Linked DNA regions of Lytechinus pictus. The protein of the gene in region 1 purifies or fractionates together with the protein of each later gene. This does not show direct contact. Links are inferred from orthologs where the notes say so. Each region holds a gene or a part of one and is shown in the gene's direction. Other genes may lie near its edges.

Region 1 (10,533 bases):
TTTGACAAAGTGCAAAATAGTAATTAGACAAAAAGTGGGAAGTACACCATCTAGGCATTGGGTGGTTGATGACCAAGTGGGTTTAGAGGAAACCCAAATCCAAGGAGAGAATCAATCTGAGACGAAAGAATAAAATTAAAGGATCAGTATGATTCTAAGTAGTTTTCTCAAAATCGGTTTTAAAATAAGACTTGGGAGTTGATAAGTCTCAGGGGGTGCTGCAAGAAAATATTTGCAATCAATTGCGCTCTTCAGGTACAAATTTACAAGGGATGTATCAGTCTTAAAGGTCAAGTCCACATGCCCAGAAATATGTTGATTAATTATAATCAGAGAAAAACAGTGAGTGGATGACGTCATCAGTCTCCTCATTTGCATCCCGACCAGGATGTGCATATAACTGTTTTGTGAAATTAAGCAAAACTTCAAAATGTCATAACTTTCTTATTTTACATCCGATTTTGATGAAATTTTAATAGAACAGCTTTTGTATAGCGCATTACACCTTACAAAGGTCTCAATGCGCTTTAGGAAAAAGAAGAGGGAAGACTGCTGGTGATGCTTTGATAATATTCTTTTCAGTTAAATAAATATGCTTTCAATGCAGATTTAAATTGCCCAATTGTATCAACTTGCCTTAAATTGTGTGGGATACTATTCCAGAGTTCCGGCGCTGCATGAGCAACCCCCGTTCGCCATAAAACGGGTACGTTATATAAATCATTATGAAGTGATCTAAGATTTCGAACAGGTTCATATTTTACAAGTAACTGACAGATAAGATAATACAATTTTCAGTGTTATTCTTGTTGGATTTCTCTTTTTATTCAAATTAACTCTTTGTTGGGGTGGACTCGTCTTTTAATGCTACTGTAAAATTGAAATTTGAACAAAAATACATATTATGGAAAGAGCGAAGAGAAATTGTCATGAAAAATACAAAAAAGCACTTATAAAAATGACCTGTATAGTTTCCGAAATGGCGAAGTTACCATTGTTGTACTCTTTATAAAATGGCACCCGGTGTATGTGATATGTGGTAGAGGCGTCGATCGGGGGGGGGGGGGTGCAGGGGCGATTGTCCCCAATGAAAATATTGGGGCAAACTTTATCATCCCCCCCCAATAATTGTGACAACTTGTATAAAAAAAAAACATTTCAAATTATGTTAAAAACATTAAAAAGCACATTAAAACAATTAAACTTCGCATTATAAAACACATGTTTAGTAGTATTTTAATGCAAAGTTTATTTTTAGGATGGAGGAGACATAAGTGCATATAAGTTGAAAAAAATATATAATAATGCAGTACAAATTATGTTTTTAAAAAACATTTTAAAGCACAGTAAAACAATGAAACTTCGCATTAAAGCAGATACGAACCAATAGCGCCATCTTGAGTCCTCAACTACTCATACCTGGCCATTTTCCTGACCCATAATACTAGTGTAGTCTAGTAATATAGACCCACTTGAATGATAACATGCTAATTAACTACTCAATACATTTATACCGCAATAATTATGTTACCAAGTTGCAAAACAATTACTTTTCCTTTCAAAACATTTAAGTTTCTCTCTATAAAAACAATTATAGGTCAATTTATTCTCTGTAGTAGATATCTGAAAATGTATATTTTAAGACTATGTATTTATAACACACAGACAATGAGAGACCACACACAATAATTATGTTTAAAAGTACTTTAATGCGAAGTTTAATTGTTTTATATTTAATAGTATAAATATTCAACTAAACTATCAACATTCACAATTTGCAGGACTAGGATTGTAATTATAAGCAGATTGCTGGAAAGAAAAATTACAACCCCAAATTAAAACTCATTAAATTAAAGGTCAAGTCCACCCCGAAAAATGTTGATTGGAATAAACAGAGAAAAATCAAACTAGCGTAATGCTGAAAATTTCATCAAAATCGGATGTAAAATAAGAAAGTTATAACATTTTAAAGTTTCACTTATATTTCATAAAACAGTGATATGCACATCTCAGTGACATGCAAATGAGACAGTCGATGATGTCCATCACTCACTATTTCTTTTGTTTTTGTTATTGTTTGAATTATACAATATTTCATTTTTTACAGATTTGACAATAAGGACAAACCTGACAGAACGATATAGTATTAAACAATGCTAATTCCACGTGTTCAGGGAGGAATTAATCATTGTTTCACTTGACAATGAGGAGAAAATTACAATATTTCATAAGATACAAAAGGAATAGTGAGTGGATGATGTCATCAGTCTCCTCATTTGCATACCGACCATGCATGATGTGCATATAAATGTCTAGTGAAATTAAGCGAAACTTTAAAATGTCATAACTTTTTTATTTATCATCCGATTTTGATGAAATTTTCAGTGTTATGCTTGTTGGATTTTTCTCTTTTTATTCAAATCAACTTTTTGTTGGGGTGGACTTGTCCTTTAATAATATATTTGTTGGTGGTGGTGGTGATTTTTTTTTACCTGATTGCTAAGAAAGCATGAATGCTTGCAAGCAAACAACCAGAATGATAATTAGAAGGCACATACGCCCGCAAGTGAAAAAAAAACATTATGGAATAGGTCAAAAAAAAAGATGATATGGTCGTGAGGGGCTACAAGATTGATGCCAATATGGAATAAGTTATAGAGGAGCTAGACAGAAACGCCTGGGTCCCGTAACACAAAGGTTAGCGATTAATCGTACGCTTGATTTTTATGATTGATTGTACATTATATTCAATGGAACCAATCGTAGAAAAATGTTCTACGATCATTGCTAAGCTTTGTGTTACGGGCCCCAGATTAGAATGTAAGATCTGAAAGAATCATGAACATGACAACTAGGGATATATGCCCACATAATGCTGGTCCAGCAGTATTCCCACTTGTTTTGGAGAGAAGATGCATGTAAAATTTACATTTTTCGAAAGTGTCAATCAAATAACAGCGTTGCCATGGTTATGGGCATTGTGGCAATAAACCAGAGAGAATTATATTTTCACTAATATACACAGTAAAAAAAAAGAAGCTTATATATTGTTTAAGCCTGTCACTCTAACAACAAGTTGTTTAAACTTTATTTGTAATTGTTTACACTTTTTAAACAACTGTTTAAACTTTTTAAACTTTAAAAAGTTTAAATAGTTGTTTAAAAAGTTTAAACAGTTGTTTATAAATATTTTTCAACAGTTGTTTACAAAGTTTAAACTATATAGTTAGAGTGATGGACTTAAACAACGTGCTTAAAATTTTAAACAGTGTTTATACAGTGTAGGGCCAATGTATCTCATACAAGGCCGTCGTGATTATAGGCTGGTATATGCTATCACCTTCAGTCCCTGGCATACAGATGGGGGGGGGGGGCCTTGGGTGCATGGACCCCCCCCCCCCCACAAAAAAGGAGAAAAATAAAGAAAGGGAAAGTGGAATAAAAAAAACGATAATATAATTTTCTGAATACTATATGTAAAAATCTACTGCAAAATTAATTTTGTATTCAAAAGTTAAAACTTTTCTTTCGAAAAGGGCACTTTCCTAAAACAAAGGGGAAAAAAGACTTATATACCCCACTCACATGACTCATGAAACTTTATGCACACAGGGTTACTCTTACAAATTCTTTCCTTCATATAAGTAGTAACATAAATTAGCGAAAGGGGCAAATCATATTTTGAAAGGGATTATGCGATTAAATAAGGATGCACCGTTTGCAGAAGGGAGAAGAATCCATATACCATGCGCCTTGGGCACTCTGTAGATTGGATTTGGCGCATTAATCACATTAAGAAAGCTAAATAGAGAAACCTGGCGCTCATCGGGCACGAAAAGAGTGCTTTTTAAGAACAACTTATTTGAATAACAGGCACCTATAATGAGGCTATGAAAAGGCAAAGGGGCACTCGTTAACACATAAAACGGGTCCTTCTCAGTTGAAAGGGACACAGAACACGTTCATGAGTGGCACTTTTCTTGGCACCGATTCGAGAAAGGCCACTTACAAAAAGGCAAGGGAGTACTCGTTAACACACAAACGGGTCTTTCTCAGGTGAAAGGGGCACAGAACACGTTCGTGAGGGGACATTTTTTCTCGCTTAAAAGGGCACTTTCAGTGCTCCAAAAAGTGGAGGGCACTGAGCCCCTCCCCCCGCCCCCAGGATCGCCGCCATAATGTTAAGAAAATAATATCATACTTCACCCTTCCCTTTTTCCTTTTTTTTTCTTGGTCTTGAAAAAAAAAAAAAAAAATGGGGGGGGGGGTTCAGAACCCCAAGCCCCTCATCTGTACGCCAGTGTGGTATTCTCTTAAGAGAGGGGAAATTGGCTTATTCTAGACCAATCAGTTATTGCCAAACGCTACGATTTCTTGATATTTTTGTGACTTTATAGGGGCCGCGGGAAACAAGACGACCCACCTCATAATGCTTCGCTGTATTCAAAATTTTAGGGGGAGGCGGCGCCTCAAATGGGAGCAGGGGCCATCGCCGCATTATATGACTTTTCAAGTAGTATAGGGGGAAGGAGAAAAATGAAGGGGATTTATAAAAAAAAAAAAAAGAGGAAGAAACAATAAAAAGGTGATGTAACTGCTGAAGGTTTCCCTGGCATGGCGAAGAAGAAGAGTGTGTGGGCATATATGTTGGTCTTGAAAATTACTACCCAAACTCGACTTTTCGACAGGTGTAGTGTGTTCTTATATACCGTCTTCACGAGAATGAGACAATCCTCAATCATACCAAAAAATTTGAAACTTCAGGAGAATGAGCAAAAGTTGTAAAAGCAGCTAGGCTTTTACAACATTCTACAAAATGTGATGTATAAGTCAATTTAATTCAGAAAACGTTTTACATTTTTATGTAGACATATAGACATAAATCCATATATATGAGTTGAGGAAAGAACATTAGAATTTCTGTAGGAAATGATCAAGATGATAGCTGGATCTATTGTATCGGGCATCGGTGTGCGAAGAACTTAAGTTTCAAGAAAGCTTAAACATAATTGTTGGAACATTTCTCGAACAATTATTCCCGTCGATGCAACGAGGTGATAATGAGTTAATTTGCTTTACAAAAAATGTTAGATTTTTATACATAATTGCCTAAGTAAAACATGTAAAATGGAACCAGCTATAGCCGTGAAATGTGGTAGTATAGATAAGGAGCCTGTCACGGATTGACATGGCACATCGATCATTGCATGAATTTGGCATTATTCTTACCATGGACCCTAGTAGGTCCATGTTCTTACAAAGCAAATGTATAATATACCATACCAAAGTTCTGAATGAGGAGTATCTTCGGGATAAACCGAGGTTATAAAAGAAATCTGAACCTATAATTCAAATGAGACGGTTGATTGTTGAAAGGTAGTTTTAAACTAATGAGTACAACTTTGCTGAACACCAAACAGAATGAGAAAGTTTAAACTATGATGTTTGGTTGTACAGTTAAGAGACTGACAAAAAAGTATCAGTGTCTTAAGGAGCTGAGCCTCCCCTATAGCCTCAGCCTAAGCGAAGAAAAACGAAAAAGTTTAATTTTGCATGGGTATGAGTTCAAAGCGGATGAAAAAGTTTTAAAACTTTCCTAAGTTGAAACTATTTGCAGATCGAAAGAGCGAAATTGGAAAGTTTAAATGGAGGAAGATTTTGCCCAGCGAAGAACAAGATGAACAAGTTTAAAACATTTCACTGTCTCCATAATGCATGCATATGGCCTGTAGGGTATAAATGAGCTCTAAGTTCCAGTTTGCTGAACGAAGAAAGAAAATAAAAAAGTTCAAATTATTTTTCATGCCTTTGCTGAGTAGGCCCAAAGAACGAAATGAAGAAATTCAAAAGGGTGATGTACTTTACTGGGCGAAGAACATAGTAAGAATGTTTTAAACATTTCAATTGCAATGTCCTAAATTCGATTCGAAAAGAAATCTCCCACTATCACTACAAGATTTGCTGAAATAAAAACTGTCAAAATGTCAATATATGAATGTGAGCCGTGGAAGACCGCGCCTCCGAACTTTCATGAAATTATGTTAATGCGGAAACATATATATACCACGCAGGCTTCAGATATGTAAATAAGGTACATTTTGTAAAGAAACACGCATTATAAGCCGAGTGTTGTAAACAATGTCAATTTATAATGCTTCATTGAATAAGGGTATGTTGTTGTCAAGTTCATCATAACTCAAATATGTCCCCTCCAAAATCACCCCAAACACATCTTACATATCCCAGTAGTAAGCTATCCTTAGCCTATGCCATTAACTAAGATGTAACTATTATGGGATGGAGAAGTAATTATTATGGGATGGAAGTAAGGGCCACTGACGTCATTATGCGCATGTGCAATTAACGATTTACTACCCTTTTGTCGAGGGGGTAAGTTTTGTCTCCGCCATCTTCCGACTTCCTCCCCTTTCGGTAACCCGGATTTTCTTCATCACTTTGGGACAGGGTGTGAGTATTCTGGCTGGAGGATTCCGTTCGCGGAATATTCTCACATCATTCCAAAATGCCAGGAGCTGCCAAAAAGGACGAAGAAACGGAAGATTATGGATATGATTTAGACACGACCGGTGAGAGTGGGGCCATCAACGAGGGAGGCGAACAGGCCGAGTTCGGTATGTGAATGATTATTGAAAATATCGATGATATTGACGATTTTTATGAGTGTGATACAGTGATTGGTTTTCTTTCAAATTTTGTTGTGGCATAGTTTATGGTGTATCTAACAATTCTTTAGGTTTCCAAGAATGCTCGTGTTAATTTTCAGCTCGAAATCGTGATTTTTAAGCAATATATCCGAGATTGGTCAAGGTCCGCCGATCATCGTAACTAAAATAACGACGTGATCGATCATCGTCTCTAGCGAACGCTAAAACACCGGCGATCTTCCAATAACACTTTTTTGAACTCCCGGCGCCAAATCCTAAGAAATGTGTGTCCATGTTATGCTATGACAATTTAGTTTTACTCTGCTGGTATTATTTTTCTTGATTTGGACTGAAAAAGTTGTGAAAATTAGAGCTTTTTGCGAAGAGCCGCAAGCGGATTAGTTATGAAGATAATTATCAATCTGTTCATTTTCGCACGGTGAATGAATGAGCCTGTGTGGTTTGTCTGCGCTGCCCGTGCTTGACAAAGCATGTGTGTGTGTGTGTAGTAGCGTGTAGCTTACACGTGAATAGCTTTTAGCGTGTGTTGCTTGCTGTGTTGTACACATGTATGAAAACAGCTGTGTGAGTGAATTAGTTGCGGCTAGCTGCTTGCGCTTGCCAATGCAAAATACAATGTCTGACTGAAAAAGAATATTTTAGGAAAGCAATATTTTGACTGAAAATTTGTTCATATATTATATATTTCATTCTTTGTAGCAAGTTATTATTGGGTTATCCTACACAGTACATGTTCATCAAGTTGTTTATGATTCTAAATAAATTTCTAACTTCAGAATATCTACCGGTACATGGCATTCGGTTAAAATGGCAATTTCCAGTCCGCTAAACTTGAAAATATTTTAGTGTTTAATTTCAATTGTAGTGATGCACATTTTGTCAACATTTTTTTGTAAATTTTTTTTTTCTTACAGATGGGGATACCCCACCAAAGAAGAAAAAAAGTAAAAAGAATAAGAAGGACAAAAGAAAGGATGGAAAATCTAAAAAACGCAAGAGAGATAGTGAGGTAATTTGTTCATGCGTTTCAGTCAAAGCGGGCCCTGTTTTTAATTTATTGCATGCATTTCATCTTTATTGTTGGTGACTAATACATGCTGTTGATCACTTTTGTATTAGTTTGAATAAATATGTACAAGTTGTAGATGTGGAATATCTAATTCATTATTAGAAATTAAATTTTCTTGAGTTGAAGGCTTCATACATGTATGAAAAAAGACATAATTTTGCATACATTTATAATTAAGTTTGTATTTAATTTGTTTCTGTTACCATTCACTTATAGATTGTTCACTAATTTGCACATTGTCATTTTACTGAAGAATTTGAAAGGATTGGTAGGCCTACATCATGTCTGCTTGAAGACCTTATTGTGAGGGCCCTGTATATAGTAGTTATTGTTTTAAATTCATCGCACTTGCAGAGTTTCAGTCATCGGTAAATCATAGTTGCATACATGTACATTAGATTAAAGTATTTAAGTTTTGGTGAATCTTAAGATTACTCCCTTAAAAAAAATCATCTAGAATGAAACAATACCATAAATCACAGAGATGATTTTTTGAGATCGATCCAAAATAAAAAACTGATAGTTTACTTAAAACTTTAATCTACAATAAAAGTGTCAAGATGTTAATTTTTAGTACCGGTAGTATTTTTTAATATTTCTTTTCTTGTATCAAACCAATTTCTCAACAATTACATATTTAATAGAATACAATATGCATGTGGCCGCACATGTACCTTCCAGATATGCTCTGAAATAAATGTTTGATTCAATTTAAGAATTAAAAAAAAAATATCCAAGTTATCTCAATATTTTACAATGACATGTATATTTGATTTATTTTTCTATTAAAATTGCTTTTTGTGGAATTGAACTAAAAAAATAAAATAATTTGAGCTTTGTAAAGAGGGAAGTAAATTTTTATGTATAAAAGTGCTGTCAATTATTGCTCTTCAAGTATTCTAATACATGTACTATAGATACATGTATGAAGGAAAAATGTAGCAGAATTGTCCAAGCTACATGTTTATACATGTACAGTACATGTAGTTCCTTAATCATAAATCTTCTCTTTTCTGTATGTTAGTCATGTGCAGCAAAATAGTATCAATTCCTAATCACCAAAATCTTACAATGAATCATGATCATATAATACATGAAAACTATTAATTCTTAAGTGCACATTTATTTGCCATTATTTCACAATTCTTTTTAGGCAGTTCCTTCTACATGTATGTACAGTCCACCGTATCTTTAAAAAAAATTAAGGTCCATTTATATTTGTTCTTAAGCAGTTTCATGATGAAAGTGTTAACAAAACGCATGAGTCCTCACAGGATTCTCATTTACAAGATGATAGTGTTTTTAATCTGCACTCTGCACTCAAATCCATTGAATGTATGCTTTGAATGTTTTTATTTGTCATGGCAGCAGTTTTGTCATGTAGTCTATCAAGTACACAATTCTTTGACTCACTGTTACCTGTTTCGGCCAGAGAACAATAGAATCAGTGGACCAAATCTATTGTTCTCTGGTTGAAACAGGGAATAGTGATTCAAAGAATTGTGACTGGTACTGTACATGTACACAGACATTTCGCTGTGTCAGTGCAAGAACATCCTTACGCAATGCTCTTATACATGTACGTGCTGCTAAGGGCGTTTTTGCTTGCATGCAATGTGTAAAAGTGTGGAGTTAAGAGTGTTCTTGCACCAACACAACGATTTGTGGTTTGCTGCCAGTAAGTTTTGCAGTCCTTATGTAGGTTTAAAACTCAATCTTTAAAGACCCTTTAATGTTAGATGTTTGAGATAGACAAGTACATGCACATGCAATTGATTTTAAGGTGAAAATGTCACTTAAAGACAGGCAAATTTTGTTTCTTCTTCCTGTGGCTTCTTTTCACATATACTGCATGAATGTGCAACATTCAATAAGCTTTAACACTGCAATGATTGGGGATTTTCCATGGATCCATATTCAAGTTTTCAGTGCTATTTTGAGCATTTTTTTTTTTTGGGGGGGGGGGATTCGTCCCTAGGCTCCGTGTATTTAAAAAATAATAATATTTAGTTTGACTGCACAGTGTACATGCTTTGTGATCACTTCATGACCCCATTGAATACTGTCTATGTTACATTTTCATCATTTTTGGTTTGGATTAATATCTTTCTTGCTTGTGGTTTTGGCTTGTTTTTGCATGTAGGTGAGTGACCACCATGGCAGTGATGATTCTGAAGGAGAGGCCAAAACTAAGAGCAAAAAGAAGAAAGAATTCAAGGTTGGAGTCGCATCTCTGAAAATTGACATTCAATTTCAAAATTCTTGTGGCATTATTTCCCTTAGATACATCAGTGCACTTAGGTTGCATGTGATGATTGATTGAAAAAGTGTGTAGGGGCATGTTAAGCAGGGGTTGGGTTGTGAACTAAAATAATTCCACCAAGCAGAATGATTCCAAGTAGATGCTTCCATTCCAGCACATATTACAGTGTAAATTGTTCCTTATTTTTCACTTTGATTTCAGGTGTTGAAAATGTTTGTAATATTTTTGTTATTTTGTCTTTTTCATTATATTAATATTCTTTGTTATTCTATTTTTTTCATGATTTATTTTTTTTTTCTGAAATATGTTTCACTTTCGTTTGTGATGAATAATGAAGATTTATGTTATGCATGTTCTTTCATGATCCAATGCATGTGAAATTAAATGTTGAATGTAGGCCTACATAGTAGCAAATAGTGACACTTGGAAAACTGATGTTAAAGAAATCATCATTAACGTTGGGTAGTTACATGTTTAATATTGTTATGCAATGATATTTCAGTAGCATGAAATGA
Region 2 (10,062 bases), on another chromosome or scaffold:
TTGCTTTCCCGAAGTCAAGTCTATCCAGCCCCCCCCCCCTTCCAAGTAATTTTTTTAATAAAATGGCACCGGCCGGCCGCCTAGGACTTTTTAATCAGAATTTAATGCATACGAACTCGTAGGCGGATCTAGGGGCAGGACCTAGGCCCCCTATTGGCAAGGCAAAAAAAAAAGGAAAAAAAGGGGGAAAGGGGAAAAAAGGAGAAAGAAGGGAAAGAGATGGGGAAAAGAGGTAAAAAAAGGAGGAGAAGACGAGTGGGCATGCCGACGAGTGAATAAGGTGAGGGGAAGACTTGGAAATTATTATTTTTTTTAAATCTTTCATATACAATTTTCGCTCGCGCTTCGCGCTCGCATTGTATGTTCGATGAGATACATATCTTAGTCAATAGACTGATATGGAGCTCAAATCAAGTTTTGAAGTCAATATACAAAACATTCAGCTCGGACAGCGAGCTTTCATTATTTTGTTTGATTTACAAATTGATTTTTAAAAAGTAATCTGTAAAATGTCTGTTTTATTGTCCGAGTATCAACATTTTCATTTTAAGAATTGTCAAGTACCCAGTGGTGTACCGTGGGTCACAGCATTGGGGGGGGGGCACCAGCAAAAATTTTGAGTCACTTATTGGTCGTGCGAAGTGCGCTAGTTGCCCGGTTGTGACCTAGAGACATTTTAAGGTCTGTGCCATTAAACGGATATATGTATCTCATAATGCGAGCGCGTAGCGCGAGTTGATTTTTTAATATAGATATTAAGACCTAAAAAAGGAGTAAGCAAATTTTTGTGATTATGATACATATCCTGTCTTATTATACAAACAATGCGAGCGCGATCTGTAACATTTCTATATATTGACCCCAAACAGGGTTATTTTAAGGACTATTTCTTTTAGGAATTCATGAAGAGCATACATATCTCATAATCTCACCATATAGTGCTGATTTTGTCAGAAACACATGAAGCACTCATTGTAGTCATGTAATCATGAACATGGTATGCATCTCAAATATTGCAAGCGTGAAGCGCGAGCTGAAAATATTTGAAATTCAGATATGAAGAGGGGCAGTCTAAGGCTTGAATTTAAGAATCATTAAGACCATATACGTATTTCATTAACAAAATGGAGCGAGCGCGAAGCGCGAGCTGAAATTTTTTGAAATTCAGACATGAAGAGGGGCAGTCTAAGGCTTGATTTTAAGAATCATATTAAGACCATATACGTGGCATTAACCAAATGGTGCGAGCGCGAAGCGCGAGCTAAACATTTTTGATATTCAGACCAGAAATAGGGGCATTTAAGGACTATTTTTAGGAATTCATAAAGAGCACACATATCTCACCAATCCACTAATGTGTACGTAAGCGGACTTGAAATGTTTTATATATTCGGACCTTAAAAGGGGCAATCACTTTTAGTATGGTCATGAAAAAAAACATGTCACGATAAAAATCAATAATAACTCGAAGTGCAAGGATATTATGTTTGGCGTACATTGACGTGAAAACAGGATGTTTTGTAATACAACAGGATTGATTGAACAGACAATGCGAACACCATGCAGGGAAGACCCTTAGCAATAATGTTTCATTATTAAAGTTATGACAAAAAATCTTATGTAATATTTTGTAATATAGTATAATATATATAAAATAATATAATACAATATAATTTCTTCTCCTCCCACTACATTTCTTTTTCCTCTTCCCTCTTTTTCTCCTTTTCTTCCGTTTCTTTTTTGCCAGCCGATTGGGGGGGGGGGGGGCGCGTGCCCTTCCCTCGTAGTTACGCCACTGCAAGTACCTTTATCTTTGTGTATTCCAAAACCTATCAGCTAGCACTGCTCGCGCTCGCATTTTGATTGGTGAGTAATGTATATCGTATAAATTATATAACAAACTATTTATAAAATCCCCTTTTCATGACAGTTTATCAAAAATTTTGGCTTGTGATTCGAAAGAGCATATCACGAATATGGGCACAATTTTGAGCAAGATGAAATTGATTTGTTTATTTATGGATGAGTGAGCACCCATCAAAAGGACAAAAATGACAATAAGTCACAGACTCATTTTGAAGCGTTGTAATTCAAATTCAAATTGTTTTATTCTCTCAGTAAAACCTTACATAAAAAACAAATATAATACAAAGTTAAAATACATGTATATTACAAATCGAAAGACGGTCAAAAAATTGCATTATGGTTCAGAATCATATTGAGGGGTAGCAGCCTAAAAGGAAAAAATCCTTATAATTAGGCCGACCCATTATTAAAACGAAAAGGTGACATAGAAAATGCAATAACAGGGATACAGCAAAAACATTTCTAAAAACAAACAAAATAACTTAAAAATGCACATAAACAATGAACCAAGACATCAAAAAGTGCCATGCCCTAACATAATATTACAATAATTATAATAATACAAGTGAAATACATAATTCATACATCATTCAGCCACTGTATTTCTCAAGAAGGTATCTTTTGAACTTTGTTTTGAATACATTAAGTGTTTTTGCATTACGTATTTCATCTGTTAGTGAATTCCAAACTACAGGACCTTGATAAATGATTGATTGGTGTGACAGTGACGTTCTTATTTTAGGAAGATGAAAATTATTTGCATTTCTCATAGGATAAGAATGTATATTGCAATTCAAGTTAAAATATTCTAATAGAGAAGTGGGTAAAAGTTTCCGATAACATAAAAACATAAAGATTCCAAGCTGGTATTGATATATGTCATAAATGTTTAAAAGTTTTAGATTATAAAATATGGGTGAAGTATGGGCTAAAAAAGATGAATGATTAACTATTTTTATTGCACGTTTTTGTAATTTAAACAGTCTATCGAGATAAATTTTGGCTGCACTTCCCCATGTAAACTTCCTATGCAGGGGGCGCGGAAGCGGGGGGGGGCGGCTGGGGGGCCCTCCATTTTTTTCCAAAACCGTGTACAAAAACGTAAAAATTACCATATGATTGTGATTTTTTGCATGGTCAGCCCCCCCCCCCCAATTTGGCTCAGCCCGGAAACCGTTCCGCGGCCCCTGCTATGGGGGCAAATTCTGTTTCAACTGTGACTTATAATTGCTGTTGCTTTTAATCATCCATTATCACCACACACTATATCTCCGAACTTTTTACACTTTCATGATTGATTGATTGATTGATAACGAATTTATTTCATTCCAAAATTTTAACAAGGTTACAAAGTAAAGAAAAATATAATATAACATTATGAAATGAAATAGAAACCTTCTGAAAAGCAAAGCTTGTTATTAAAGGTTTCTTTCAATGAATAAGACAAATTAATGCAAAATACAAAGTTCAATATATATATATAATATACAAATACATTGGTGAGCGAGCACACTGAAAAACTTGGGAATGATTACTCTTACTCCCGGGCTCTTACTACTACATAAATGCATTCTTTTCTGACAGTTTCTCAAGATCAGTTGAATTTAGGGACAAATTATTTGTCTGGATCCAGAATTTGAAAATGCACATGGGGGAGGGAGTGGAGAAATTGGGAAGGGACGCCACTAACATTTTCCATTTAACTTTTTTTTAAAGTTATAAAAGGCACTACCATCATAAACCTTTATGATAATAAGTCACAAAAATATTATGTTCACTCAACCATGAAAACCATGAATATACGTTACCAACATTTTGTGTGGATTGGTTATGGATAATCGCTGATGTGGTTTACGGTACACCATGTGAAGTGTTGTAGAAACAGTGGATAGGAGAAGAGAAGAAATGGATAGGCGAGAAAGTGGAGATTTGAGAGTAGAGTATTCTTTCTTGAAAGTAGTCCTGAAAAGGACTGTAAACCAGGAAAGATTGATGAGTTGAGAACAGCTTGAGTAGTAGAGCTAGTGAGGAGATGCTGGCTTGAGTCGGCGAGTAGAGATGATGAGCAGTAGAGAGACTCAAATCTCCACTTTCTCGCCTATCCATTTCTTCTCTTCTCCTATCCACTGTTTCTACAACACTTCACATGGTGTACCGTAAACCACATCAGCGATTGTACATACCACCATGCAAACCTTCAAACAACATCTGGTTATAGATAGTAAAAGAGCATATAAGCACCGTAAAGTTCACCAAAAACAAATTTCCCCCAACTGTACTTACACGATCCGAAAAATTGCTCCTTAAAAAAAAATTGTCATATTTACTTAAATTACTCATGACTCAACCAATTAATCTAATTTTTTTTTTCACAGGAGTTGCTCTCTAAGTGAAGTAAACCACCTGCGAAATATTATATCTCAAAATTATTGCGTTCAAAACTAAAGTTACAGCATTTTGATTAAATGGGGACTTACTTTTTTTGTTGAGTATACATGTATACATAAAATCAGCTCGCGTGATTCACGTGTGAAATAATTTGTCTGTTGATATTGCAGGTACAATCACAACCATTCTATTTTTTGAAAATGATATTTCATTGATTTTTTAAATAAATTATACATGAGGAAGTTGCTTGCATATACTAAACTAAAAATAACAAATCATTCTAACAATTTGTATAATCTTTGATGGATTTTCCACAATAAATTCACCAATATTTTTTTTCAATAAATTTATCTGCTACTTTAAAACTTTTTGGCAGAGTACTTCCCCTCCAATAATGTAGGCTACATGTATATGCAAATATAAATGTAATAAATAGGTCTATTGATATTTAAGAGCATATGAAAAAAAATCAATTCAATTTATACATATGGTATTAATAGGCCTACATTTTATATATTGGCCTACCATATAGAATATATTTTATATAATATTATATAGAATATATTTATTTTGAAAATGAAGATCTTAAAAATTCTTGAATATTAAATCTAAAATTGCAATACATACATCTGTTCCCGGTAGGCCTTTAATTGAGACAAAAGCTCCATATTAAAGGTCAAGTCCACCCCAACAAAATGTTGATTTGAATCAATAGAGAAAAATCAGACAAGCACAATGCTGAAAATTTCATCAAAATCGGATGTAAAATAAGAAAGTTATGACATTTCAAAGTTTCGCTTATTTTTAACAAAATAGTTATATGAACGAGCCAGTTACATCCAAATTAGAGAGTCGATGATGTCACTCACTCACTATTTCTTTTGTTTTTTATTGTTTGATTTATACAATATTTCAATTTTTACGAATTTGACGATTAGGACCTCCTTATTGCCTGAACCACAAAATGTTAAAATAATGGAATTCCACGTATTCAGGGAGGAATGAAACTTCATTTCACATGACAATGACGAGAAAATCAAAATATTTCATAATTCATATAATAAAATACAAAAGAAATAGTGAGTGAGTGATGTCATCAGTTCCCTCATTTGCATACCGACCGGGATGTGCATATAACTCTTTTGTCAAATGAAGCGAAATTTTAAAATGTCATAACTTTCTTATTTTACACCCGATTTTGATGAAATTTTCAGTGTTATGCTTGTTGAATTTTTCTCTTTTTATTCGAATCAAGTTTTTGTTGGGGTGGACTTGTCCTTTAATTAGAAAACTCTCAGGAAGAGTTTATTCGCATGCACTTACCTATATCAAGTACGATTCGTAATAGTTCAGTGTTCGCATGGCTATCGGCAGCGAAGTGGTCGAGCGCCATCTAGCGTTAAACCACGTATATAACTACTAGTTAGTTAACCTGCGCGAGTTGGCGAGACGGAAAATCAGACGTGGGGGTGAGCGTCTGCGGCTTCCGCTCGAAAAAGATCTATATTTTCACCATTTCGTCTTAAAAATATAAACTCCAACTACTTTCCAGAATGGCGGCTAACATGTATAGAGTTGGTGGTGAGTATAAGGGAGCAGAAATGTGTATTTTTGGCATGCAGCGACTCTTTTTCACACCGCGACGAGCTAGTCTTGCCCATTCGGACACCATTTTGTTTTAGTTAACTAGCAGCGGGCCGAACACAAAGAAAGGAAAAGACGCGTCGTTTCATGACATGAGGACGCCGATGATGATGGATCTTTTATTGAAAATATGTCAATATAATTCGTCAAATTCATATAGAAACCAAATTTTGTGAACCCCTGGTAATTTTGTGCAATTTTGCAGCAAATTGTAGGTGTCGAGCTGCGGAGCGTGGGCCGCTTAATCCGTTAAACCTTTAAACTTATTAACTTTTAAACCGGGGCTCGTAGAGAATTCTAGTTTTCTTCATTGCCTTTCTTTTATCATTTCAAAGTATGTGCAGCTGATTAATCTTTATTTTCTCCTCTGTATTTTTTTTTCAGGATGGTCTTTCATTTTCACATTTAATTTTTTCACTTTCACAAAGTTTCAGTTTTTACTTTCTCAAATTCATTCATTATTCACTTGATCTAAAAATAAGGCCTTTTCTTTTCTTGGACAGACTTTTCTACATGTACATGTGTTTCATGTTTTGTTTCTGTTTTAAACTTACGCTTACGAAGTTTTGGTAACATTTAGAATTTAATGGTTGAATGAATAAAAAAAAATCAACACTGAATTTTTTGTAAATAGGACTAGGTCTAGAGGTAAAACTTTTGCTTATTTTCGCTATATAGGCCTGATTATCACCCCAAGCTCCAAAGGGTAAATTATTTTCATGTAACTGAAGTCCACAAATTGTTTAGGTAGACTAAATGCATGCGCAACGTTAGATCTTTGCACTATTTTGAGACAAAGTCTTAGACATGGTGATCTTGTATTGAAACAGTAAATACTAAAATAGAACTACTTTTTCTGATTTGGCAGGATTCGGATTCCTCAAACTCCCCCCCTTTTTTTTAATTTACTTTTCTCATTTTCAGTTTCACACAATATTTTATTTCCAATGGTGGATTCCCCTCCCATATATATTTATCTTTGGACAAGTTATTTATTTTATTTTTTATGTGGGGGGGGGGGGGGGGGGGGGTAGGTGGGTCCAGCAGTTGATTTCTTTCAGTGGGATCATGCAAATCAGCATGATGTCATATAAGCTAATTATTGCAAACACTGTAAGCGATACTTGGAAATAAGTTTGAAAATTAAAATTGAATTGTTGTTTAGCTAGAATTATTATCGCTCTTATTGAAATAAATAATGTCATTTATTTTGTGTATTACAGATTATGTCTACTTTGAGACTTCATCATCACAGCCATATCTTATTCGCAGGATTGAAGAACTCAACAAAGTATGTTGTTTTCTTAAACATATATATATATATATTTTTTTTTTTTCTGCTTGTACCACTGTGAATAGTGAATTATACATTTAAAGCTAATGTACATGAGCACTTGGATATACATGCATACCATTGAAAATGTCTTTTCCTTAGTAATTATATTGTAAACTGATTGTATCTTGAAATGAGAAAGTGTGAAACAACATAAATTTGAAAATGAGTGTGGCATGTAGCAGTGCAAAATATGGATGTAAATACTGTATATTACGCTACTGCATGGTGGCAGTATTGTGTAAATCATTTCTAAGCTTTACTGGACACTTGCTGTAGCTTTTTGATTTGCACTACTTGAAGCTAAAGAAGCATAAAATTGAACTCTCCGATTATAAAAATTAATGAGTTTTCTCAGTATTTTGCAAGTTATTGAGATACAAATAAGCAATCTTATGTAAGATATACACCCTGTAAGTAGGCCTTATCTTAAATTGTAGGTTTTTTTAGGCACAGTATATTGCAATTGAAATTTTCACATACATGTATATGAATGTTGTAATTTTATTTCCTATTTGAATTTGGAACATTGATCAGTTAATTTCCATGTATGTCTTCAGAAATATGTGATTTGCAACAATATTTTTATGAAAAAAAAATTAATGGTGCTGTTTTTGATATTTCATTATTTCAGACTGCCAGCGGCAATGTGGAGGCCAAAGTGGTATGTTTCTACCGCCGTAGAGACATTCCCAACTCACTCATCCAGCTTGCTGATAAACATGCAAGTAAGTTTGAGAATAAACTATACAATATGAATAATAAAATTTATGTATATTTTCATTTTGTAAGCACAGATAATTTTTTCTTCATTATTAAAAAAAAGAAGACATTTTTTTAATGATAAAAATTATTGATTTTTCTGAACATTCTGCTAACAGTATATATGTGAGTAAAACAATTCACAAGTATTTAACCACATACCGGTATATCGTTTTGTATACATGTAGCTTGATGGTTTCATATCTTTATTTTTAGACAGTGTTTATAATTTTCCCCATTCATTTTTTTTTTTTTTGTTACAGTGGCTTTGGAGGAAGAACAAGAGGAGGCTTTGGAAGAGTTAAATGAGAAGCAACGTCATCAGTTGAAACATCGTGAACTGTTCTTATCCCGTCAGTTAGAAACGCTTCCAGCTACACACATCAGAGGAAAATGTACAGTCACCCTGCTCAATGAGACAGAGAGTCTCCTCTCGTACTTGTCAAAAGATGTAAGTTCTAAATAGGGGCCTATAGATGCATAACAAATTACTATTCAGTAGCTTTGCCATCTAATGGTAACTTCCCTGAAATCCTTGATTCTGATTGGCTGTTGAAGACTGTAACCATGGTAAGTTACCATTGGATGGCAAAGTTACCATAAAAGTAACTTTCATACAACAGGATCCAGGTCTATTAAAATACAAGACTAATTTTGGAGCATATAATCCCATTTAGTTGTAAAGTGTGATACATATATCTGGTATATAGTTAGCCATTGATAACACTGTTTCTGTTTATATTGAGCTATTGACATATACATTTCTGTTTGCTTTGCAGTGCAGAATGGTGTAGAATGTTATTTGTAGGTTAGGGATAGGTTATGAAGAACTTGACAGTAAAGCTGACACATACATGAGCCACAAGTATTTTGCAATATCTGTTGATTAACATATTCTAAAGATCTATCTACCCTTTCATTGCTCTTGTAAATCATATTTTCAAGATTTTACTTGTTTCCCCAACTTACAATCTTATCAATTTCCACCTTTATCCTTGTTTGTGCCTTTGTAGGATGCATTCTTCTATTCCTTGGTGTATGACCCACAACAGAAGACTTTGCTTGCAGATAAAGGAGAGATAAGAGTTGGTTCTCGCTATCAAGCTGATGTCACTCCACTCCTCACAGAAGGTACAGTCTGCAACTCTATATTCAAACTCATTATTATTTTACTCACTGTAATGGTAACATTATAGGTCACTTTTATATGGCAATATTTTCAGTACTATTATTTCTCAAGTGTTATGATTGATTGATTGAATTTATTCTTGCTGTATATGCATCATCATCATGAACATTACAAATCGTTGCTACATTAGTATAATCAATTAAGCTCTCTTAAACATCTCCAAAACTTTGTGATTTTTTGCAGAAACTTATCATATTTGTGCATTTAGAGTTGTTCAGTTCATCATTTTAGTACTCAAACACAAATTGCATACATTGTTTTCTCAACTAAGGACAGTCAGCAGCCCGCACAGGAGTATGTGTTCGCATTGGTTTATTGAATGGATATTGAATCTAAATTGCTATGTGATGCCATGAGAATTTGTACTCCCTGTCTGTCTCCATATACTCTCATATGTACACAATGTTGGTACTGTCTATGCCCCCACCTTCACAATCTCTTTGCCCCCACCAGGTGAATCGGATGGTCGTGACCTTTCTAGTCTTGAGGCTCTGACGTGGAACCCGGAACACTGCATGAATGATAGAAGCATCGATCAGTTCCTGGTTCTAGCAAGGTGGGTCTGATTTCCATTTAAGATGATTAAAAATAATTACAATGCAATGTAATACAATATTAGCATTCTTATAGTGCTGTTGCAATTAATTAACATACGTCATAGTGCTTAATTGTGGCAATAAGATAAGGGAATATGGCAATAGAATTATTCAGACATTTTTGTTGTATCATCTTTCTCTCTCCACATAAAGAAAGAGAGAGAAAATATGTCTGAAAATACAACCTTTGTGTTTTGCAAGACATAAAAAGGAGATTTTTTTTTTTATGTTTAAGTAATTATGTGGTCAAGTGAACAGAGAGGTTAGGAAAAATACCTCAGAAT

Evidence for each region.
Region 2: the proteins of chromodomain-helicase-DNA-binding protein Mi-2 homolog (region 1) and metastasis-associated protein MTA3-like fractionate together in Drosophila melanogaster (co-fractionation; 3 studies listed by BioGRID, with this or other methods). This does not show direct contact. The link is inferred for Lytechinus pictus from reciprocal best matches to the Drosophila melanogaster genes Mi-2 and MTA1-like.

The regions. Positions count from the first base shown.
Region 1 is NC_087258.1:16,771,450-16,781,982, reverse strand, and holds the start of chromodomain-helicase-DNA-binding protein Mi-2 homolog, read left to right. Parts: upstream 1-6,343; 5' UTR 6,344-6,523; coding exon 6,524-6,632; intron 6,633-7,600; coding exon 7,601-7,695; intron 7,696-9,898; coding exon 9,899-9,973; intron 9,974-10,533. UniProt on the Drosophila melanogaster protein: ATP-dependent chromatin-remodeling factor which acts in nucleosome-remodeling by catalyzing ATP-dependent nucleosome mobilization. Involved in regulating transcription. Plays a vital role in development.
Region 2 is NC_087251.1:31,514,644-31,524,705, forward strand, and holds the start of metastasis-associated protein MTA3-like, read left to right. Parts: upstream 1-5,669; 5' UTR 5,670-5,807; coding exon 5,808-5,835; intron 5,836-7,121; coding exon 7,122-7,189; intron 7,190-7,865; coding exon 7,866-7,959; intron 7,960-8,256; coding exon 8,257-8,444; intron 8,445-9,006; coding exon 9,007-9,124; intron 9,125-9,635; coding exon 9,636-9,738; intron 9,739-10,062.